Linked DNA regions of Danio rerio. The protein of the gene in region 1 interacts with the protein of each later gene in a pairwise test. Links are inferred from orthologs where the notes say so. Each region holds a gene or a part of one and is shown on either strand. Other genes may lie near its edges.

Region 1 (4,426 bases):
ATTTGAACAACAAAAATGATGACTTAACTGCAAATTGTTAACTTCTTTTAATTAAATTCTTCATTCATAGTTGCACACTTTTGAAAACAGCTCCTCAGTTGATTATCTTTAAAAAGGAGTTTGCCACCTGACGCTTTCAGAATAATGAAGGGTAAGAAGGGTAAAATAAAATAGGCATAATGTATGATTTGTTTCAAGAATATGGTTTTATTTAAACCCTCACCAAGTTTTAGTTTGATGTCTGCGCAGTATGTTGATTATTTTTTTGTTAAGTTATTTAATATAAATTTTGTTTGTTTGTTTGTTTGTTTGTTTTGTTTATGTGATGGCTTTATATTTAAATTAATGTATATCTGACATGTATGGTGGACGAAACCTGCAAAAGCAATACATAAATACATAAATATGCATATATATCAATAAATGAGAAAAATTAATTAAGAAAATCCTACTTAAAATAAATCGATAAATAAATAAATATGCAAATAAAAAAATTTATCTTTTTATAAAATTCACAAATTCCTGTATGATTAAATATGTAAATAATAATAATGTGGGCTGGTAAATAATAAAATAAAATAACACGAATGTTGGAGGAATAAAAAAAATGCAATATCGAAAAGTTGATACCCCCTTTTTTAAAACCTTTATTCAGTATTTAGAGAGGCTGTCTGTCATTCATTAGAAGGTGGTCTTTATGCCATCATTGGTTGATCATTAGAAAAATTTTGCATTTGATTTTTTTTACTGGCTTCTGATGAATGACAGACAGCCTCTCATTACCATGTTGACCTGTATAAAGGTTGAAAGGGGGGTAATAAATCAACTTGTTGCATCTTTTTTATTCCTCCAACATTCGTGTAATTTATGCAATTATTTACTTGTCAGCACTATTCATTATTTTATATTAAATATATTTATTTATGCAGGTATTTGTGGATTTTATACATGTATTTTTTCATTTTTTTGCATGTTTGTTTATTTATTGATTTATTTATGCAGGAATTTCCGGATTTATTTACTCATTTATTGATATATTTGCGTATTTATTGATTTATTGTTTTTGCAGGTTTCGTCCTCCATCGACATGTCTCAGTCAGTTTGTGAAAGATTATGTTGGAATTGAGTTTGGCCTAAATTATTATGTTTTTGAAAGGCAAAAAAAATTATGAGAGAGAGAGAGAGAGAGAGAGAGAGAGAGAGAGAGAGAGAGAGAGAGAGAGAGAGAGAGAGAGAGATGTGAACTTGGAACATGGCATGGACCTTCCAAACCTGTAGGTGGCAATGTGGATGAACAAACAATGTTTGAATTTTACAGAGAGGAAACAGACGAAGAGGACATTGTGCGCGCAAAGCATTGAGCTGCAATATTTTCAATGCCTTGAAACGGATTTTAGTTATTTTAAAAACACTGAATTAGACCCCTGTTTCGTCGTTTAAAGTTGTTCGTTCAAATTTTCTTCATACCGTCCAGAATTTCGCGGCAGCTGCTTTTATTTTGCACCTTATGTCGTAAGCAGTGTGTTTCGGGCCTCCACGAGGTCACACCCGCTTGATTCTGATTGTCAAGTTTTGCAGATTTAAGTCCAGAATGTCTAGCTTTAACTTCGGCACAACTACCCTCGGGACCACCGGAGCACCAGCAGCAGCTGGAGGAGGAGGGTTTTCATTTGGAGCTGCGACCAGGTATGAGGACGAATTCAATTAATGTTTTTTTTGTACAAGTCGACGCTTTTCACAATAATTATTGTTTCAAAGCAGCTCCACAAAAAGCGCATATTATTGCATTACGATTACATTCAGAAAAGTTAAGGTTATTAGTTACCATAATTTTATTTGTTACTATTAACTTTAACTAATTAACCAGTAAATAATAGCTTTTAACTGTTAAAGTTATATATAAACATAGTTAACCTACAGTTATTTACTATATAGGTGCTGCATATGTGTACATGTTTAATGTTGCGTTTTGTTTTAATAAGTCTAAAAACTAGCTCAACATCATAGCCTGAAGTTATTGGTTCGTAACATTGCGTTGTATTTCTGGCTTTTTTGTTTCACTTTAGCTCTTTCAATGGTTACCTAAGTATTAACTAAATGTGTGTTGGTAATTAAAGCCTAATTTGGTATTGTCATTTTTTTGTAGAATTTAAGATTCAATTCACTTTCAGTGTTTGACAAAAGTGCACACTATTGTCCACAATTTAAAAATCAATTCATGTTTATTTATATACAGTGTTTTCTACAATGTAGATTGTGTCAGAGCAGCTTAACATAGTTCTAGCAATGTCCAGTTTTCAGAGTTTAAGTTTATTTTAGTTCAGTGTGGTTTAAATTTCACTGCTGAAAGTTCAAACACTGTGAAGCAAATCCACCGAAGCACAAGTCTCAAACCAAGCTAGCCAGTGGCCACAGTGGCGAGGAAAAAAACCTCACCAATTGACGAAGTGAGGGGGGGAGAGAACCTTGAGAGAAACCAGGACCTATTGGGCATGACTATTATTCTTTTGGCCAAACTTCCTGTGTGGACCTCGAGACTGGAGAAGCTGCAGGTGTGAGTAGGACACCAGCGGGAGGTCAGGCTACCCCACAGGATCAATTCGGGAACTCGTTTCTCACTGGTTTTTCAGAGATCAGTCTCATGCACTCCATTCATTATCCATGGCATCAGCTCGGGATATGGCCCGGTCCAGGATTATGGATACCTTGGGATCATCTCTTCACATGTCTTGAATGGCATTAATGACGCTGCATAATCTCTAGGGGCCTCAAAATTAGTATCCTTAGGTGGAAATAGAGACTTAAGAAAATGATTAGCATAGCTGCTGTTCATATTGTATTTAAACAAGATTCAAAAAGTGTTACAAATGAAAATAGCAGTGTAAAATGTATATTTGTGTGTTGTTAGTGAATTGTTTATTGTTTTAAGGTTCAGATATTTTTCTGTATTGTTATATAATAATTTTAGTAATATATATTTGTTTCATGTTTTTAATGTCTATTCCAGCACACCTGCTGCAGGCACAGGTGGATTCTCATTTGGAGGTTTCGGGGCACAGACCTCCACACCGGCACCCGCCACCACCAGTACCACCTCCACATTGGGATTTGGGACCAGTTTATTTGCACAGAAACCAACAACTGGATTCAGCTTGAGTACACCTGCCTCAGGTTCCTGACTGCTCTTATGTCGAAAACACTCCTTAATTTAGCATTTTGATAGAGTAATAATAAAATTGTTGTGGTTAATTCTCATTTTTGATTTATCATCTGATAACATTTTCAGCAGCTGCTGCATCCACAAGTGGCCTTTCGTTAGGTAAGCAATAAAAAACAATTTAACTTTCATTTGATTGTCCTGTTTAGTTCAAATGGTTATAAGCTTTTGCAATTTTTATTTGGTGCAAGAAACCAAGATGGGACATCCCATCTTTGAACATTTTTTTAATGTGAACAGAGTTTTAAGATTTAATGAATTTACATGTTTAAAATGACTTTACCTCACTTAACCAGGTTTTCCTAGACTCTGATTCTTTCTTTTGTCTTGTTTTGTTGTTTTATAATGCTTTAACAGTTGTTTGGACTAATTTATAATTATTTTACATGGTCTCAAATTACATAAATGGGTAATAAGATTTAGGATTTTATTTTATGTATTAGTGTTATCACACTGTATTACTGTAATTTGATACCAATCAGTACTGAAATTTAAAAAACCTCCCTTTCACATTTGAGCGCATTCTTAAACAGCGCTGATTTGCCATTGTGTTTATCTGTGCTCAACAGAAATGACTATGATCGGCTGTAAAGGTCATCAGTTCACCGAACTCATTGCTGTTTACTGAGTGTAAACACTGAGTGTAAAGCCGCAAATAGCAGCTGGTTTGTTTTAAGCTGGCATACGAGCGATCTTTATGGCTTTAAAATTCTTCAGTGTCCCTGTATCTGTGGTCACACTCAGTAAACAACAGCGAATTTAGTGAACTGATGACCTTCACGGCCAATCACAGTCATTTCTGTTGAGCTCGTGAACCCAATGGCAAATCAGCGTTGTTGTAAGAACAAGCCCAAATGTTAAAGGAAAATAGACTTTTTTTACATTTCCGTTACGAATTCCAATATTTTGAAGACACTATTATGTGTTATTTACTGCCGTTGATGTCTTTCTATTGGTATAATAGAGAAGTATTTATAAATATTTATATAAATGTAAATATTTAAATAATTATATAAATATGTATATTTATAAAATACTTTTTGATTTTGTTTTGCCCTGAATTCAGCTTATCTGAAAGCCAATTCAAAACTCTTGTCTTTTTGCCTGTTCATAGGGAGTCTTACCACCTCGACCGCTGCTTCCACTGGCTTCAGTTTGGGCTTTGGAAAGCCAGCGGCCTCAGCTACACCTTTCTCTCTAACCACCACC
Region 2 (4,431 bases), on another chromosome or scaffold:
TTCTTTCTGTATTTTAGTACATTGCTGGGTGTGATGACTTACTAAGTAACTGGTTACTGCAATTTAATTACTTATACACTTAGAAGTAACTGTTAATTTTTTCATATTTTAATTACACTCACTCATAATATACTTGCCATAAATGCTCTAGATAAATCCAACAGTTCTGTATAAACCAGTTCAGTGTATCAGCTAATTTTTTCGTTGTTATTATTTCGATATTTTGTAGATAAACTATAGTTTAACTAATTCTCAAAAATACTCAACACATCCTCAAGAAACTTAGTTCAATTTGTTGAAATGCATGACAATGTATAGTTATTAGTGTACATATATAATATCATTCCTTTGAATGTTCCATGTTTTGATTCATATAATACATTTTATTAGAAGATTTTTGCAGCGTAACCAAGTTAAACTTTTTTTGAAGATGTCCTTGTTACCATTTAACTATTTATTTAGCTAATGAGTAACATTAATGACATGTACTTACTATATGGATAGGGTTAGTTGCATGAATTTATGCATAATTAATTCTAATTGCTATAGTATTACAAAAAACATACGTAAAAAGGACTCCTAAAAATAAAGCGTTTTATCTCTTAGCTAAAATTTATTCATGTTATTAAAATGTTTTATGGTGGCCAAGAGAGCTTAACGTGCTACAATTTAAGAAACACATGCAATTACAAAACACAAAAATTAAGAAAAGATCTTCATCGGTTTAACAGCACACGTGCTGCAAATCCTTACAATGCATAGACATAAAAAAACCCACTACATTTTCCCACAGTGCAAACAAAGTAACAAAACACGCTGCAATTTTTACAAAAATGCAACTTGATGCAACTTGTCCAATCCAAAAATGTCTCCACATGCAATGATAACGAAATTGCTTATTTGAGAGCAGAGAAGGCGATTTACGTTGGTTTGCATCATGCTCACATATCAATAATTTAAACAGATGAACTGCTTTACCTCTGTCATCTGCTGATGCACAGTGTCCTGGTACTCCAGGGTCACTGGTTTGTCTTCTCTGTCTAATTCTGGCATTTGCTGGCCTGGACTTCCCACTACATAGCTAGATACATAATCGAGACATGATACACATGAATTAACACAAATAAAAAAAAATCTAGAAATTAACAAAAATAAAAACAATACAAGCTCATGTGCAACAGGTTATGTACCTTTCAATATTTTCCACATTAAAGCAGAAAAGGGATCTCTTGCAATCCAGCTTTTTCGGGGTTGATATGTACATGACTCCTAATTCTGAGCAACAGCCACGGCAGGTGAGATTCACAACAAGGCTGAATGCGAGAGACAAATTTACACAGATGCTGATCTAAACAATGAAGGTATACACTGTAAAAAGTGACTAGTTACTTGACTAGACAATGCGAGTAAACCTGTTGCCTTAAAGAATTTTCTTAAAAATAGTGATTAAACCTGTTTTAGCTTGGATCTACTGAATTGACTTAATCTTTATAATTATGAACAGATCATTCATTCATTTTTCTTTGGCTTAGTCTATTTTTTAATCAGGGGTCGCCACAGCAGAATGAACCACCAACTTATCCAGCATATGTTTTACACTGCGGATGCCCTTCCAGCTGCAACCCATCACTAGGAAACATCCATACACACTCATTCACACACATAGAGTACTGACAATTTAGCCTAAACAATTTACCTATAATGCATGTCTTTGGACTTTGGAAAAAGGAGCACCAAGAGCAAACCCATGCCAACACGGGGAGAACATGCAAACTCCACAAAGAAATGCCAACTGACCCAGCCAAGGCTCAAACCAGTGACCTTCTTGTTGTGAGGCGATCATGCTACCCACTGCGTCAATGTGACGCCCATGAATATAGTTTATTTACCTTAATTTGAGCCAATGAATTAACATAGTTTTTAAAATAAAGTCAATCACTTTAAACAGAAAAGGGTTTACTCACTATTTTAAAAGAAAAGTTAACTAATTGCTTTTTACAGTGCAGTAAAATGTAATTTTTTTCCATGACATTAGAATGTGTGGGGGATTGTTGATTTTTTTGCATGTCCAGTCCAATTTTACTTTTTCTTTAATAGCAAACAATGACTATGACATTTTCATTATGAACTAAATTCCAAACAGTGCAAAAAAACATATTTTTGCCAGAAAAATTTGTACCAACTTCTTTAAATATGCTGTAATACTTTCCTACAAATTTTATGAATTAAGGTAGGATATAAATACATGCAGCCACAAAAAAAGAGTATTATTCAATTGTCATTTTAAAACTTCATATTAATTTGTCAGAAAATAAAAACCAAAATAACATAAATCACTTGCTCTTTTGTGTATATATAACAAACACAAAGATGTGTGTGTGAGACAGTAAATTATGAAAAATTCATCCTCACCATCCAAGCTCCTTTCGGGTCCCAGAAACAAATGGCTCTTTGCCTACAACAATGTTGTCAGTAATCCCTAAAAATCCACATGTAAAAGTCAAGATATAAGCTTTAAGACATATTACTGCTAAACTCTGTGTGTTACAGTGTCATGAATTAATATACATCTAAATGTAAAACAACTTCAGAATTGAAACAAGTGTATACAAATATTACTGTTTTTATTATTTCCATCAGACTACAGATAACATTTTGAAATTATTTAACAAAACAAAACTAGTATGTTTGATCAAAACATGGTTATAACTAGTATTTTACATAAATAACACAATTGAATGGAAGAATAGTTACGTTTGAGCATGATTTGGTTGTTCTCATCATCGCTCCCAGCCCAGGACAGACTGTCTCCGATTGGCAGCTTGCATTTGCCGCACATAAACACCGCTGGACCGTCGCTTTCTCCATCTTCCTCCACTCTACTCCTGCTGTCAGCGGAACTCTCGCAAACAGAGTATGTTTTATGGCTACATTCATCGGGGATTTTAATTTTGCCAGCCATCTGAAACCCCAGTGTTTTCAAACGTACGCGGGAGCAGTTCTTCTGTGAACTCGCAGCTAAGTTGACCACCACGCAGCGCCATCTGCTGCACCGGAGAAACACTTTCACTTCATTCTAAACGTCTTAATCTAACCGAACTCACAAACACATATGTAATACAATACTTTCAAAACAAGACAAGCAAACATATGGCTATATTATTGACTTATTACATATTTTAAATTAAATGTTGTTGACTTTATAAAGTTTTGCTTCAGAAAGCAAATGGTTTGTTGACTATTCAATTGATTAATTATTAAATCAATAAATGATTATTTAATAAATATAAAAAATACACACTTTGATCAGATTGGTTATAAAATCCAAACCCGTGCCTCTCAACTCCTACCCACTGCCTATTTGAGGCATTTACCGCCACGCCCCGTCCAAAATTTTTATTCATCCTACTCAAAAATCACTTTCTGGGTGTCAAAACACGTCCTGGTACCATAAGAAGTCTCACCGGTGACCACAAAGCCATCAACAACCGAATAACAATGCAAAGTCGCCGGTTTCAGGTACCACTGACTTGTTGCGCACTTGCTATTTCCCCATTTCAGGCTTCAACACAATGACTGCGTCGCTTACAAATGTTTTCTTTCCGCCTTAAATCTTCTGACTGTATTTTAATTATAGGAGAAAGGCTACCGAGGAGTTCGCTTTGGCTCTTGAGGACTGGGATGTCCGAGTCGCGGTATGAAGACATACTTTAGCCGGGTGAGAGTAACCGCAGGTGGGAGAGGAACACGGGAGTTTGTGACAGCGAGCGTTTCTCCAGCACGCGCTTGAATGCACGCGGATTTGATGCAGAAATAATTGCAGACTGTTACTATGATCTCAGCGCAGCACCTGAGAAGCTGCCGTGCACCTGGGCTCTGTCTTCAAATACTTTACAGTGTACTCATACTGTGGACCAAAGAAATGGACGGACTCTCGGATTTCTCAAGTAAGTCAAGTACCTATTCATGAAGGTTTCATAAATGTACAAGATTAGTTTTACATATACAGAGAACGCATATTATATTAGTGTCTAATTTTTTCCAAACAACCTGTCAAAATTAAATGTCACTGTCATTTATGTAGCCTGTATTCATCCAAAATTAAATTACTTCTCTGATCTGTTATAAAAAGTAATATTATATTGTATTAGGTTTTTTTTTCTTTAAATAGCCTAATTAAATGCTTCATCCTGACAATTGCAGAAACCCAAGTAATTTTTGACATTTAATTCGTATTTTAGGGCTGCACTCCAACCCATATTTTAATGTCTATGTCAAGTCAAAATCTCATCAAATCATTCTTCTTTTAAATATTCCTGACAGACATACATAGACAGACAGACACAGAAAGACTAACATATTGATAGACAGACGTACAGACAGATACACAGATACAGACAGACAGACAGAAACAGAAACAGACATACAGGC

Evidence for each region.
Region 2: the proteins of nup58 (region 1) and mis18a interact in binary tests that used the Homo sapiens proteins (3 or more experiments, as listed by UniProt). The link is inferred for Danio rerio from reciprocal best matches to the Homo sapiens genes NUP58 and MIS18A.

Annotation. Positions count from the first base shown.
Region 1 is NC_133199.1:28,988,376-28,992,801, reverse strand, and holds the start of nup58 (nucleoporin p58/p45), read left to right. Parts: upstream 1-1,347; 5' UTR 1,348-1,591; coding exon 1,592-1,686; intron 1,687-3,007; coding exon 3,008-3,171; intron 3,172-3,286; coding exon of another isoform or gene 3,287-3,289; coding exon 3,290-3,319; intron 3,320-4,331; coding exon 4,332-4,426. UniProt on the Homo sapiens protein: Component of the nuclear pore complex, a complex required for the trafficking across the nuclear membrane.
Region 2 is NC_133185.1:38,595,848-38,600,278, reverse strand, and holds the start of mis18a (protein Mis18-alpha), read right to left. Parts: upstream 3,009-4,431; 5' UTR 2,963-3,008; coding exon 2,755-2,962; intron 2,480-2,754; coding exon 2,413-2,479; intron 1,314-2,412; coding exon 1,191-1,313; intron 1,082-1,190; coding exon 979-1,081; intron 1-978. Other genes in the region: eva1c (protein eva-1 homolog C), read left to right, coding at 3,833-3,947. UniProt on the Homo sapiens protein: Required for recruitment of CENPA to centromeres and normal chromosome segregation during mitosis.